Pelodiscus sinensis: one gene and its partner. The protein of the gene in region 2 interacts with the protein of the main gene of each other region in a pairwise test. Links are inferred from orthologs where the notes say so. Each region holds a gene or a part of one and is shown on either strand. Other genes may lie near its edges.

What was found.
Region 1: the proteins of REEP6 (region 2) and SNX15 interact in binary tests that used the Homo sapiens proteins (3 or more experiments, as listed by UniProt). The two-hybrid records come from large-scale screens. The link is inferred for Pelodiscus sinensis from reciprocal best matches to the Homo sapiens genes REEP6 and SNX15.

Annotation. Positions count from the first base shown.
Region 1 is NC_134721.1:34,789,492-34,796,726, forward strand, and holds the start of SNX15 (sorting nexin-15), read right to left. Parts: upstream 3,249-7,235; 5' UTR 3,168-3,248; coding exon 3,069-3,167; intron 2,977-3,068; exon of another isoform or gene 2,856-2,976; intron 2,501-2,855; coding exon 2,465-2,500; intron 1,982-2,464; coding exon 1,861-1,981; intron 1,049-1,860; coding exon 933-1,048; intron 399-932; coding exon 119-398; intron 1-118. Other genes in the region: ARL2 (ADP-ribosylation factor-like protein 2), read right to left, coding at 5,852-5,986, 6,531-6,611, 7,058-7,220. UniProt on the Homo sapiens protein: May be involved in several stages of intracellular trafficking. Overexpression of SNX15 disrupts the normal trafficking of proteins from the plasma membrane to recycling endosomes or the TGN.
Region 2 is NC_134729.1:17,444,779-17,452,823, forward strand, and holds the start of REEP6 (receptor expression-enhancing protein 6), read right to left. Parts: upstream 3,002-8,045; 5' UTR 2,983-3,001; coding exon 2,868-2,982; intron 1-2,867. Other genes in the region: PCSK4 (proprotein convertase subtilisin/kexin type 4), read left to right, coding at 3,889-4,245, 7,491-7,595. UniProt on the Homo sapiens protein: Required for correct function and survival of retinal photoreceptors. Required for retinal development.

The DNA of each region.
Region 1 (7,235 bases), on a different chromosome or scaffold from region 2:
GTCCTGATTCCCAGTCCCTGCTCTAACTTCCATGACTCCTCTGCCAGAGATGGGGACAGAACCCTGACTCCTGGTTGCCCTGCTGTAACCTACAAAACCCACAGCAGGATTCTCATACCTGTCTCCTCTCCATCTCCCCTGTTGTGCTCCTCGCATGCTGCCCTTACAGCTCCCAGGGGCGCTGGTTTCTGTGGTTCCACTTGCTCCCCTCTGTGCGGCTCCAGTTCCCCATCAAGCGGCTCCGGCTCCCCATCGGGCTCCAGGCTATGCTGTCCCAGCTCTGCTACAGATCCCTGAGCATCATCCCCAATATCCGTGCCCTCCTGTGGCACTGGGATCAGAGGGGGCGGCAGGATGCATAGGTCACAGGCCTCCAGTGGTCTCTTTATCTCCCCATCCTAGAGGAAGGAAGCAGCATAGTGAAGGAGGAGCGGGGGTTTGGGATGCTAGACTGGTCATGAGGTCAGGGATGGGGTATTGGTCTTGTGCTGCTCCACTGGCAGCAGTCAGGAATGCTCCCACACACACGGCAGGGAGGAAGGCCACACATGGGGGAAGTGACCTGCCCAGGACCACACAGCAGGTCAGTGGCAGAACCGGGAAGGGAACCCAGATGTCCAGATACCAGCCAGCCCCCCTCACTTACTGTAACCCACCAGGTCCTGCATCCCTCCCAGAGCTGAGGGAAGAACCCAGGACTCCCAGCTCCCACTATTCTAACCCATTTAGTCCTGACTGTCACCTTTCAGAGGAGTCTCTGCTGTATGCTGGGGAGGTGAGGATCTCCTCAGCCCAAGCTTTTCAAGGGGTATGTAGAGCAACTGAGTGGGCCTGATGATGCTACCATGTGTGTGAGCAGCCTGATGCATCAGCAGTGGCCCCAGAGCACCTAGGGCCCTCTCAGCCCACCCAGCCCAGCCCTACTCACATACCCTGAAGAACTCCTTGAGTTGGGGGCTGTTGTTCAGTGCAGGGATGTGCACCGTGAATCTCAGCATGGCCTCAGCTGCTTTCCTGCGCTCCTCGATCACCTCGGGCTCAAAGCGGCCTGCGGGACAGAGCTCCTGTTGCACTGTGATGCAGCACCCATCTAGCCTCTCCAGGCAGACCAGCCACTCCCCCTCTAGCCCTATGGTACATTTCAGTTCTGCCACCCTTAAGCCTGGACATCCCACCACAATTCACTTCATGTGGTATGATCCACTATGCATCCCTTGTCCTGTGAATCTGGTGTGAGCCCCCTGCAGCATGTCCAGCAATGACTGCCTTTCCCCTGTGGGGACATCAGCTCTAATCTGTCCCCAGGGCAGGGGATTGGTTCCAGGTGGCAGGAAATGAGATATGGGACCTTTCCCAGCTCTGATCCAGTCCGAGATCCCAATAAATTAGACTCATTCCCATCTGCAGCTCATTTGGTGACCTGGGTGTGAAGCGTCTTGAAGGGTGGGTCTAACTGCCCCACACCAGCAGTCTCTGGGGGTGGGTTGGGGACTCAGACTGCTGTGTCTGGGTCAGGGGGAGGGGATGGCATCTGGGTATGTGGTAGGGGCAGTAAGAGAGTGCTGAGTCTGTGTGGGGACCTATGGGAAGTTGCAGGGTGCTGGGGGCATGAAAGGGAGCTGTTGGGGAAAGGGAAGAAGGGGACTGTGCAGAAGGCGCTGGATGTGTGGGTAGACATTATGGGATGCTGTGGAGCACTGTGAAGCAGAAAAGGCTATGCGGTAGGGGGGCTGTACTGTGGGGACGAGGGAGCTGACCATGGGGGAGGAATGAGGGAAGCGCTCTCTGCCACTGCTCCTGCTCTGGGAGTAACCAGAAGAGTCTGGCTGTTGAGCCCCCACCTCTCGGGAAGCCACTTACCGAAGACCTGGGCTTTGGGGAAGGCAGGGAACTCCTCCATGCGCCGGAAGAGATTGCGGTGGATGTAGGACAAGTCTCCATGCAGCTTCTTGAAGTCACTGTAACGTTTCCAGATTGTGATCTGAAGGACAAGAGCCCCCCAGGTGCCCCAGTTAACTAGCCACAGACATGCGCTGAGCCCACAGCTTCTACAGTCCCAGGGACCCTCCGCTTTTCCCCCAAACTGCAACCCTTCAGCTCAAACCTCCAAATCCAAATCTATGGACCCAGCTCCTTCCAGATAGAACTTCTACTTCAAACTCCTGGATTTCTGCCTTCCAAAGCCCCTGGAATTTCACCCCCAGATTTCAGTCACACGATCCCTGCCCCCACAACCTTTGCCATAGGACTCAAAGCCCCAAAACTGTCCCCAAAACTCAGCTCTATCAGACCTCAAGTTATGGGACTTTTCCCATCACTGCTGGGCAGCTGTGAGTGTGGGCTAGCCGGTAGTGGGGACCCCCCCCCCCCACACTCTACACTGAGGGATGGCTATGGATTTCATCCCACCCCTTCTTCGCACCCCTCCCCTGCACGAGCCATCAGACGGGTTTAAAACAGTCACCTCCTTGACATCTTCTGGTTTCGTCTTTGAAACAAACTAAGGAGGGAAGAGAGGAGGAGTCAGCAACTTCTGAGCCGGGAGGTGGCAGTGGGGAGGTTCAGGGCAAAGGAAGGGACCAGCAGGGCATGGGGCTATCAGGCTAGGAGGCGGGAAATGTGATGTCCACAGCGCGTGGGATGGGGAGGCAGGACACCCACCGGGGCCAGCCACGGGCGTGGGGGGCATTTAACGGGACGTGCCTTTGACCTGGGACATCCACGTGCCTCGGCACCGTCCCACGTGGGTTTCCCGGGACCCAGGGCTCCCCCTGCAGGACGCTTCCGTCTTAAAAGGGCCACACCTACGACGCCCCAAAACGGAGCCTCGGAGGGGACCACTCGCAACTTCCCACCTCTTAAAGCGGCTACGCAGTGTCCCTCACCCTGGAAAGTATCGGGAACAAGTCCCACCCCGCCTGCACGCGCCGTGCGCCCTCCTTAAGGTGGGCGAGCGAGGCGCCCTCCTTCCATGGGGCATCGGCAGCCCCAGCTGCCCAGGAGGGGCCCTTCACCTTAAAGGGGCCGCGCACAGCTCCCTGGGGAAGGTCCCAGGCGCTGCCCCTCACCTTGGCTGTCACTTTGTACTCAGTGTGGCCCTTGGGGTGGCTCCTCGGCTCCGTGACCGTGTAATAACGCTGGTACTCATCCTTCACCCTGCAGGCCATCTCCCTCCGCACACTGAGGCTGCGGCCCCTTTAAATCTTGAGCCCGCCCCTCTCCAGCCCCTAACAGCCCCAAGCAGCAGTGACCGCCGCCAGGGAGCGTGGGTTTGCCGAACAGCCAGTACGCATGCGTGGCCGGGCCTCCTTGCCCTGTCCCAGCCCAGGGAGCGTGTGTAAAGTACAAAACTGCAGGCGAGCTGAAGAGTGAAGGGCTCCTCTGGAGAGTGAGCCCTTCTTAGAGGCAGGGTAAGCAAGGAGTCAAGCCCAGGTGTACAGGGAGGAAGACTGGAGGGCCAAAGGGTAATTGGGCGGAGGTGAGGTAAAGGGAGCAGGTTACAACTGTGGCTCTCAATCAGTCAAGTCAACCAGTGTTATGCATACCCCTGGGATACACACAGGACTTACAGCGAATACATCAACTCATCTGAATATCTGACAACTTTTACAAGAGGCAGCAGGAAAAACACTAGCTAAGTCAGTACAAGCTAAAATGTCATAAAGCTTGTTTATGCTGCTCTGTATGCTTCACACTGAAATGCAAGTACAGTATTTATAGTCCAGTGGATTTATTTTATGATTATATGGTAAAAATGAAAAGCAAGAAGTTTTTCAGTAATAAATGCAAATGCTGGGACATTTCTGTATTTTATGCCTGATAAAAGATTTACTCAGCGTTGCTTGGGTCCTTAACTCAAATAAGTTTTGTTTTTCTTCTTTTAAATCATTGTTCTGGGGTGGGGCTGGGGATGAGGAATTCAGTATGCAGGCTGCCCTGAGGAGAGTAGACAACCCCAGACCACTCTTACCGTAGCGGTTTGGGGCCAGGTGAGATGCACCTGTCCATGGCTGCTGCAGCTGTAGTGGGCACAGCCATGGTGTGGTGGTGTGCATATCTCCCAGCTGGGGAACAGACAAACACTAAAATATATAAAAGGTGACCCTTTCTCCATCCTTGCTATCTGCTGGCCCAATGCAGTTATAGCTCTCCTAGTCTCCACCTCTGCCCCCCGTCCCCCGTAGTCATTTTGCATTATAACTCCCTCCTGCCAAACCCCACCCTTTCCATTTTATGAGAAAATCAAATCCATGCACACCCCATTATCCTGGCTCAACCCAACCCTGACCTTGCTTTAAGTTATGATAAGAGGAAGCTGCATACCAAATCTGGTGGTTCTAGCGCTTACTGTTCAGGAGGAGGTCTTGAACAAACGGATAGACATTACTAAAATATCTAGTAAGATTTTGTAAGTAAGTAGTTTAAGTGAGTTTAAACTTGGGGTAACAAGACAAATCAGATGTCTGCAAGGGGTCACAAGAGGCTATATGACAACGGAGAAAAATAGAGAATGGGGAGACTGTGCCACCCTTTTACTGCTGATGCACTTCACAAGCAGGCAATAAGGTTTGAAATCCAGATGCTTCCCACAGCCTCAATCTGCATTTCCTGTTCTGACCCCAGGCAGGTGCTCCAGCCCACGCAGGTTGGCACTGAGGGATATCTTAAAGCTGAGGTTCTGCCATCTTTGTATGGACAAAACTGACCAGAGGCCATATTTGCGGCATCCCAAAAGTTCCCACTGCCTCGGGGATCTTGGTCAAAATAGCACCTCTCATGGCTCTGCTATCCCTGCTCCACCCCAAAGGTGCTATGCCAGAAGGAGGCGGGGGGGGGGGGGGGGGGAGGCGGGTACAGAGTTTGCAAAGCAAAAGGAGATTATATGCACTGGAAAGAGGTGAATTATTAAACTATCTCAATCATTAAAATGTGCTGCCTCTGGGGTGGGGTACAAGTGCTGCTACTACAGGGATCCCTCATATAGTGCTGAGATGTAGCTGCCTGTGGTAGGGAGCAGGGGCTGTTTATTCAGTGCTCCTTTGGTTGGCTCTGAGATGCAGACACCAGAGACTGGGACAGAGGTGGCTGTTTAATAGCTCCTAGTAACAGTTAAGAACAGGAAGTGAATCTTTCATTGCTTAAAACAACAGAGAATTCAGGATAGAGTGGGAGGATAAGGGAGAGCCTTGCAGACCCTTTCCCCAACCTCGAGTACTTCTGCCCCCATCAGCAACTAGGCTGAGGCTGCAACTCGTCTGTGAGAAACAGATGCAGTTGCTGGACATGTGGAGCAATCCCTAAAAGAAGTTCATCTCTCCGAGGAACCTGGTGACATAAGCCAAAAGTGCAAGGCAACCCACACAGAGTCAATGAACCCAGACACAGCAGACTACAGGCCACTGATTTTATTAGCGCGAGAAATGAAAAATGTGAATATTTCGTACAGGCAGGGTTATTTGGGGAGAGTTGGGAGGGGGAGGGGGGGAAGAGGAATTCCTTTCTGCCAGTCCTATCCGTGTACACAGTTCAACAGGCCTTGTGCTTCAATGATGGGGAATTGCCACCACTCCCCACACTGTAAACGATCTGGCTCCTGAGGTTCCCCAGCTTGCCCCATCATTTAGGGCAATTGCCAGCATTAGAGCTCAAACCCTGAAACACATGTGGAAGACCCAGGCCTTTGGGTCAGGGGTACTAAGCTCTGTGCCAATCCAGGGGACATTTGGGATCCAGACTTAGTCCAAGGGGAGTTGCTGTCCCGGTGACTGACTGCTGGAGGAAAGCATGATGGGAGCTGTTCAAAGCTTGGATCCAGCCCTCAAGGAGGAGGGGGGCCATGTCTGAGGCATGATCAGTCTGCCGTGAAGATCCGGCTGGAAATATCATCCAAGAGCCAGTCGATCCCCGTCAGCAGGTTTTCCCCAGTGAAGGCACTGCAGGCCTGGATGCACCAATGGTGGCTTTTGATGCTGTCTAGTTCCAAGGCCTGAAGGGAAGACAAGATGATACTGAGTTACCTGACTGAGCTGAGACCAAACCTGTCCTCAGTCCACATCTCCCAACACTAGCACACACCCCACCCCTACTCCCTCCCTTACTTGCAACCTGGTACAACTGTGGCACAGAGAGAAGAAAGATCATACAGTGAGTCAATGATCAACTGGAGACAAACCAGGAGCTGAGGCTGCCACTCATCTGGCGTAACTCTTCTACTCCATTCCCCTTCCAGAGCTGGGAAGAGAAGAGCTGACTCCAGTCCCTCCCCACCCTACCCTACAACCAACAAACCCCACTCCCAGTGGTGCTGGAACACATTTTTTTGGGGGGGAGGGGAGAGGGAGCAGGGGTGCTGAGCAGTGCCCTCACTCTTATCCGTCCATGCCCCTCACTGACCCAGGCTGGGGCCCCTGGGCACAGGACTGGTGCCCTGACATGGGGACAGCAGTGGGGACACTAGGCCCAAAACCCTGTACCTATGTCCATGTCCCTTGACCAAGATCCCTAGTTTGCTTCAGGCCAGTGGCTCTTACCTCACGAATGGCATTGGAAGACAGTGCTCCTGGCAGGTCCTGCTTGTTGGCGAAGATGAGCAAGGTGGCTCCAGCCAGGCGCTGTAGGGAGAGAAGCACAGGCTAAGCTGCATGGCCCAGTTGTCTTGGCCCCACCATTCTCCTGTTAACCCTTCAACCACCCTCCCAGTCAGTTAGCAGTTGGACCACAGTTCTCCTGCTCTGTCCCAGACAGGGATTGTTTTTGAGTCTTGAAAGACCTGGAAACAGGGGGACAAGGATCCTCTCTGCAGCAGAGGCAGGCCCTGCTTCCAGCAGACCTGCACCAAACCAGGCCCCTCTGGCAGCCCAAACCAAAGCCTGGTTCAGCCAGAAGCTGGCCCACCCACCCACAGGATAGTGCCCAAAAAATATACCCCCTCTCCAAGGGACTTCATATAACCTATTGCATATATTCCACCTCCTTTCCCTCACAGGATACATCTGCCCATTCTCCAAGACACTTGGCACACCCTCCTCCCCCTTTCCTCCACAGGTGCAGTTCCCACCTCTTCCACCAGGAGGCTCTGCAACTCCTGCTTGCAGACCTGCAGGCGCTGCTGGTCAGCACTGTCCACCACCCAGATGAGACCATCTGTGCTCTCAAAGTAGTTGCGCCAGTAGGAGCGCAGGGATGTCTGGCCTCCCACATCCCAGATGTTCAGTTTGAAGCTGGGGAACAGAAGA
Region 2 (8,045 bases):
AAAGGACTGTGACTGAGAGGAGAGTGCTGTCTAGTGATTAGAGCACCCCCAGCCATGTCACATTAGTTCTTGTGACCTGACATTTGGAGTGCCTGCGAGCTGGGAATTTGGATTCCTAGCATGAGCATCAGGGTTGATAAAAATCAACGATTTAAAAAAAAAATTCAGATAAAAAAAGAGATCAGTAAAATACTCCATTTCCCATTTAAAAACAGTTACAATTAAATCCCATCACAGAAATGCTACCCGGATGCTTAAAAAGTCTCTTAAAAATGAATGAATGGACCTAGCCTGTCCAGCCTAACCACCAGCTCCTGCTTCTTGAAAGTTCTGGGCTTTCCATTTCGGTTTCTCAGCAGACGACAAAGCGACATGTGCAAAGTCAGACGCATCCTGAACGGGCTTGTTTTTTGTGGCCACGCACAGCAGAGGAGTTAGTTAAGAGAGTCGCTTATAAAGACAGAATCGCAATATATAGAAAAGGACGGAGGCAGCCTAGAAGAGAACAGTGAACTGAAAAGAAAGAGAGAAGATGTTATTCAGAGCACACACACACTCACGCACAGCTTTCTATACCCTCCACACTGGTGCCACAGAAAAACCGTCCTGGTTTCTGGGCACAAGAGAGATTCTCTCTGGGAATAGTTTGAAGAAATTCATTCCCTGGGTAAAAAAGGAAAACGTGACGGATAAGCAGTCCATGCAGGATGATAATGCAGGGCCTACTTGCAAGAATGAAACAAAGAAAACTGCTTGCTGGGAAGAAAGCGATGTGGATCTGACTGAGTGGATCAACGGGTTAGTAACTTAAATAATTCACTTTGCAATGCATCGTTCATAGAATCCTAGGGCTGGAAGAGACCTCAGGTGGTCGAGTCCAGCCCCCTGCCCAAAGCAGGACCAATCCAATTGTTCTTCAAGAATCTCTCTCCCCCTTTTAAAGCGATTTGACTAGTAAATTCCCAAGCTGTTTGCTGTGTTGAGTGTTGCTAGAAAAAAAAAAGTTTAGCTTAGCTAATCCTTATGGCTTGTTGAATTAGTTAACTAGGTTTAGAATCTATCACCCAAGTATACAGCACAGAAAGCTGCAGTAAGAGAAATTTAGAGTTGCCTATTGACACGGAGTGTCATTTTTTGTTTTATATTACATAATATACTATTGTATGGTATATATAATACTGTATTCTACTGTATAATATCCCTTCTTTTGCAACCTCATGGCCACAGTCCATAATGGTGATGTCATAAATCTATTCTTTATTTTACTTCAGCATAACTCCGTTTTTTAAAGGGAACCCCATTCTATATTGTTCTTGTTTTTTTGAGAAAACAAGAAATGAAAGTTTGTTCAGTGGGGCCTCTTCCAAAATTAAGTGCCCTCTAAGCACAGTCTAGCTTAGCTTTGACGGTAACTGGCGATTATTTTTTTTGGGGGGGGGGGGTGATTTAAACTGTGATTAAAATCAAATTATTTAAATCGCCTCTATTTAAATCAATCCACCCTGATCAGCTGCAGTAAATGTTTAAAAACGGCCTGACAGAAGAGGGGAACGGGAGTCAGGGTGCCAGTTTCTGGTCCTGGTTCTGCCACAGGTTTCCTGCCAGTGGGCATATTATTCACTACTAGATCGCTCTGCACTTCCATTCCACCAGGCAGAGATACTGGTCGATCCCGGAGAGGCCTGGGGCAAATCCTGAACTTTCTACCGAGTTGCTAGCATCCGTCAGAAAAGCACAAAACGTGTAGGTGGAAGCACCGAGGCAGCTCAGCCCAAACAGCTACATTAGCAATGTTGTGCTGTTACCAGGTGCACACACAGGGTCTGTAAGCGCTGCTGGCCTGGATCAGACCCAAGGACCATCCATCCAGGACTAGTTGCTTCAGAGGAAGGAGCAAGAAACCCCACAGGAGGCAGAAGTGAGAGACAACCTCCCCCCATTCCCTAACAAAGTTTGGATTGAACTCTAAGCAGGACACACACTGACAACGTCCATGATCCCCTTAAATACTTGTCTGAAAAGGGGTCACCATCCTCCAGCCAAGCATCTGCCCCCTGTGCTCCAGGGCACATATCCCCACACCCAGAAGCAGTAAGGTGCGGCAGAACAGGCCACACCTGGGCAGAGACCAGGAGAAGTGGGGGGGAGGGGGCGTTCAGCCCAAGGCAAGAGACTTTTCCTTTTTGAGGGTTCCACCATCCAGGGCTTCCCCTGAAACAAACTCAGCCAAGCCGAGGTCTTTTATGGGACAGATCTGGAGGCACCTGCTGGGAAAGGTCACCTCAAAGTACTGCTCCCCAGGGTTTGGGGGAAGGGGCTGCAAGGGAGGGGTGCATTAGGAAGGGAATCCCAGCGGGAAGGGGGTTGAAATGGGGGGGGGTCAAGGAGGGGTGCATTAGGAAGGGAATCCCAGCGGGAAGGGGGTTGAAATGGGGGGGGGGTCAAGGAGGGGTGCATTAGGAAGGGAATCCCAGAGGGAAGGGGGTTGAAATGAGGCAGGGGGGAGGGGTCAAGGAGGGGAACATTAGGAAGGGAATCCCAGAGGGAAGGGGGTTGAAATGGGGGGGGTCAAGGAGGGGTGCATTAGGAAGGGAATCCCAGCAGAAGGGGGTTGAAATGGGGGGGTCAAGGAGGGGTGCATTAGGAAGGGAATCCCAGGGGAAGGGGGGCCCTTGGAGAAAGGGAAGGGGGTGTTGTGAGCAAGGGGGGTAGCTGTGCTGAGTCCCCTCGGAAAGAGGGGAGCCCCCCGGGACTAGGGGACTCAGGGAAAAGGGGGGGGGCTGCCGGATAAAGTGCCCTCCCCGGGGAAGGAAGCAGCCCGGCTCTGCAGGAAGGGGGTGTCCTTGGGGCCGCCCCAGGGCTCCCACCTGTGGCTAGGTAGTAGCGCTGGACGCCGGTCTGGGTTTCCAGCCAGCCCAGCAGGTCGGCGAGCAGGCCGGGCTGGTGCAGGAAGGTCTGGAAGCGCTGCCGCAGGGAGCCCATGGCTGCACGCTCCGGCTCCGGCCGCCGGCTGCTGCTGCTCGCTCTCGGCTTAGCGGCCGGTCCGCCCCCCGCGCCGGGCCAATGCGGGAGCGGGGCGCGGCCAGGTGGGAGCCGGGCGGGCACGTCACAGGGGACAGGTGAGGGCAGGCGTGGTCAGAGCAGGGGAGGGGCAGCGGGGGCAAGGGGCAGGCGGGGGGGGGGATCAGAGGCAAAGGGAGAGGGAGAGGGAGAGGGAGGGGGAGGGGCAGGAGGGGGGGGAAGAGCGGAGTTGAGCAAAGCAAAGGGAGGGGGCAGGGGCAGGAGGGGGAGGAGATGGGGCAGGAGGGGGGAAGGGAAGAGCGGAGCAAAGCAAAGGGAGGGGCAGGGGCAAGAGGGGGGAGATGGTTTGGGGGCAGAAGAAAAGAAGGGGAAGGGGGAATCAGAGGCAAAGGGAGGGGCAGGGGCAAGAGGGGGGAGGAGAGGGGGCAGAGGAGAGGGCCCCGAGCTGGCGGGAACGAAGGCAAACAAGCAGAGGGAAGAGCCGAACAAAGGGGCTGGGGTGCACACACTGATTTACACTGTAAGCTCCTAGGGGCAGGGACTGGCTTTTAGTTGTGCATTTATACAGCACCTTGCACAGCGGGGCCTGAGCAATAACTGGAGAGCCCCAGGTGCTACCTGGATTCAATTAAATAATACACATTTACACAATGGCTGCTGCAAAAGGAAAAGCTCCAGCCAGGCACGCACCAGCCCAGGGCAGGAGGAAACACTCACACGCGCCTGGAGCTTTAAAAAAAAAACTACAACTCCCAGAAGGCCGTCTAGCCAAGGAACACCCCTCCCTACTCGCAAAGCCCCCTGGGAGTTGTAGTTTGTTGGTGAGCCGACGGGGTCGTTCCCCGGCTCCTGCGGCTTGCGGTTGCTATGGCGACCCCGGGGTGTGAACACGTGGCGCGGGGCAGCCCCAGCAGCCCTGCCCGTGCCCGGGAAAGAGGCAAAATCGAGGCCCCGGCTTCAGGCGGAGCGCTAGGCCGCAGATCCCGGGCGGGGGGGTATTTAAGGGCCCCTTTTAGGGGGCAGCCCCACGTTTGCTCCCCCCCCCCGGTCGGAGCCATGGCGGGGGCGGCGGCCTGGCTCCGGCTCTCGCTGCTGCTGGCCGGTGCCTCCTGCTGCCGGGGCGGGCTCACCGTCTACCTGAGCAGCTGGGCGGTGCAGGTGCCCGCGGGGGCCCGGGAGGCCGAGCGCCTGGCCCGCAAGCACGGGCTGCTCTGCCTGGGGCAGGTGAGGGCGGGGGGGCTACTTGCCCGGGGCGGGGGGTAGTTGGGAGGAGTGTGGGGGGGCAGTCTGCAAGTCCCCCCCCCCAGCCCCAGCAGCTGGAGAGGGAGCAGCCCTTTTCTCCCCACTATTCCAGGCTCCTGTGTCCCCCCCCAGCACCCCCTTTCCTAGAGAGGCTGCCCCCCAAATCTCCCCCCCCCCGCCTTCCCCCTGAATTCCTCTTCCACAGGCCCTCCCCAAGAAATGGGGGGGGGGTGGAAGAGAAAGAAGGGTGTTTATAAGAGCGGGGGCTTGCAGAGGGATGCACCCCCGTCCCCCGAAAAACACCCCGATGAGGGATGCACCCCCGTCCCCCGAAAAACACCCCGACGTTTGTTCCCCTGATGGAAAATCTGCTGGAGAGAGCCAGGGAGCTGCCTGATGAAAGGCTGCCCTGCTGCAGACGTCTGAGCTCTCTGGCTGGCCATTCCAGTTGACTATACCAGCCGTGAAATTACAGTGCAGGCCACAGGACTAAGTAGGAGGCTTCCAGCCACCCCTGCATTGGTGCCATTTGATGTGGCAATCTTTTCCTCCTGCCTAGCTTGTCTCTTCTGTATCCATTTTCCTTCCCTCCCTCTCCGTTTTCTCTCTCACGTCTGTATCTGAGGCGCTTTTATCCGGATCTATTTTTATTTTAGATGAGGGCATACTAGCATCATTACCAATTCCCCCTCATGCGGTAGCTCCAGCTAAAAGCATACAGCTTTGACAACCGAGGCAAATGCATCTTTAAAGAGAAGCTCTAGACAGCAAGGTTGTTTAAAATACCACGGACGTTGAGCGTGTTCTCTGCCACCGGGGGATTTGCAGTGAGTGGCAATTGAAGAGGGAAAACAAGTTTGATTGGCTCCATAATTAAGTTTTGGTTTAAAAAAAGAGGTGCTTTTACCAAAAAAATCCAAGACTAATGAAAACATGTCCCTGAAACTTTTAATCATGTAATAATAACGGAATTCTTGCTTTTTCAAACACTGCAGTCCATGGCCGTCTTCACTGGTCCCTGGTCTCTCTGGATGCATTCTCTGCACCTTTTTATTTAGATTTAAGTGTTTTAGTCCCTAGATTGAGATTTGGGGCCCTGTTGTGCTAGGTGCTGTACAAACATCTAGTAAATGACAGCTACTGTCCTGAAAAGCATGCAGTTACATGAGCTAACACGAAGCCAGCTGCCAGTGGACAGGTACCTGAAAGAAAGCTTTATCTCTTGTTAGTTCTAAATGTCCCACAGCCACCATCCTCTGGCCACGGGCTGTCAACCAAGAGATCCAATTCACCTTCTCTGTCTGTATAACCCATTTTAGGCTTTGAAAACCAGCAGTTTGGTTACAAATGGCCTCCCCTCCCCACCTTGTCGTTCAACCTTCGGTTGTACCAAAACAAGCTCCACCTTGATTTGCCGACACTTTAGCCATCCTCCACGGAGCTTTTTTTGATCACACAATGGCTTGCCCTCTTCATAAAACCCTAGGCAGGAGGCATGCTGGTGCTAGATGTCCCACCAATTCAATGTCACCTTATTCTGACTTCTTTCCAAATCCCATTCTCCTCTTTTGCCCCTTCTTTTTGATTCCTCTCAAGTCACTCTCTGAATTCACTCTAGGATTTCTAACTGTCCTTTATACAGTACTAGGTGTTCTACATTGCGCTATTTCAGAAGACCCTGCGATCACTCCCTTCTTTCCATTCGCCTTGAGTCTGGATAGTTGAACATCGGTTTGCCCCCTTCCTTGTTTTGTTTTTGTTTTTTTTCTCCACAGTATGACTGTGACCAGGTAATATTTCAGTCACCCACCTAACCATTATCCATGTAATGCTTTGCTAAGTAACAACCATTTGCTGTTACTATTGTGTAGGCCTGTCTTCAGGGTAACTTAGTTGCATGGATAATCTAGTTTTGAGCTGAAACTTGCCACAAAACCTTTTAATCTCTTAAACAGAGAATCTGGGCTTGTAATCTGACGTTACAAGGATTGCCCCTTTATCAGCTCTACCTCTGTACCTTTTCCTAGCTTTCTGCTGCAGCAGCCAAATGGCCTCATCAAATATTTAAAAGGCTGTGCAGATCCTTGTCTTGCTTTGTTCGCTTTAAAAGACAGCTTTTGCTAATTAGTTGTGAAACCAGCTCCCTACGGATGGTGTTTTCAGGGCCGGGAGCCTGTCCTTTGGGGAGAACAAAATTCCATTCTACACTCACCGTGGTTTCACGTAGTGCCCTGTGATTGAGTAAAATGGAAAATGGATGGACCCACCCCAGTGAGCTAGCGGTTGGCAGCTTGATCTCCATTAGCTCTCAATTACTCTGAAACAAATTCTAAAATCATACAGGCAAAGGTAGAAATGAAATTGCTAATGCAATGGGCCAGATAAAAAAATAAAGCCATGGTCCTTAACTCAATTAAGGGTGGTTTTTTTTTGTTAAAATACAAAGAAAATGCACATGTTTTATTTAAATGATTGTACTTTTAAAAATACAGTGTTTTATGGAGTTAATTCAGATTTCTTAAAAAAGGGATTAACATTTTTCCATTTAATTTTTAGTATATTTTTTTAAATGAGAATTGCATCAAGTGTATATTTTTTTCTTCACCCTGTAAATTCTTTATCCTTCACTATATTTTGACAAAAATGGACTAAGGTCCATTTGGTTTCCAGTAATGTTTTCTTCTAGTTTTCAAACCTTAAGCTCTGATTTAGCTGTGCCAAAACAGAGCACTCTGCCAGATTTCTCCATTTTATCTTTTGTCTGTCAGGTTGAGGGAGAAGCAATCTAATTCCAAGTTCCTCCTATTTTTCTCGTTCATCTTGGTTCAGCCTCTTTCAACATTTGCTTGGTTATATCAATTTTGATCTGGTGATTGTCTCTTTTCTGTTTGGTTTTATTAGAAGCAATCCCATTCCAGGTACAGCCCGTTTTCCTGGCACAGTCAAACCCTTACGTTGCTTTAAGTTATGATAAGAGGAAGCTGGATACCCAATTTGGTGGTCCTGGATCCTACCATTTCAGAGGCGTTCTTGATCAAACAGACTCTCTAAAATATATAGTAGAAAACAGAACAGAGTGCTTACAGGGAGGAAAAATTGAGCCTGTGTATGCAGATAATGCCAGATCCTGCGTTTTGTTATGCTGAATGGCATACGTGGTTAATTTTCCTGGTGGCTTCTGGTTGCCACCTGTGTCCAAGCCTTATGTGTAACTCTTCTTTCTGCAGATAATTGAAGGGGATCACTATTACCATTTCAAACACCGAGGCATGGTGCAGAAATCCCTGAACAGACACTGGGGCTGGCATGTGCATCTGAAAAGAGAGCCCAAGGTGACAAGTGTGATTTCTGAGGGAAGCACAAAAGAATTGCAGCTTGCTCGAAAATGTGCTTGTGGGATGTTAGGGCTAGCAGGAGCTATTTGTATGCACCTCGTTTGGCCGCCTGCATAGCACAGGCTATGTCTAAATACTGAGGATATCGTTGGCTCCCACAGTTATGTGTAAATACTGCTGATCAGGCACCCATTGAGTGGCATTGCTGTGCTATCAAACCAGCATGTTGTCTTGAATTCAGGGCCCCACCTACCCATCCCTGACATCTGCTTCAGATGAAAGCAAAAGAACTAATAGCATGTTACTATCCACTGTCTGTTTAGTGGAGGGGCTTCTTTGGTCCCAGCGGATAATCAGATCTGTAGCCTGAGGACCACTCGTCCTTTTATCACGAGTGATTGCAAATGTTATTTTTCCTAGCTCTCGAGGCAAACCTTGGATGTATTT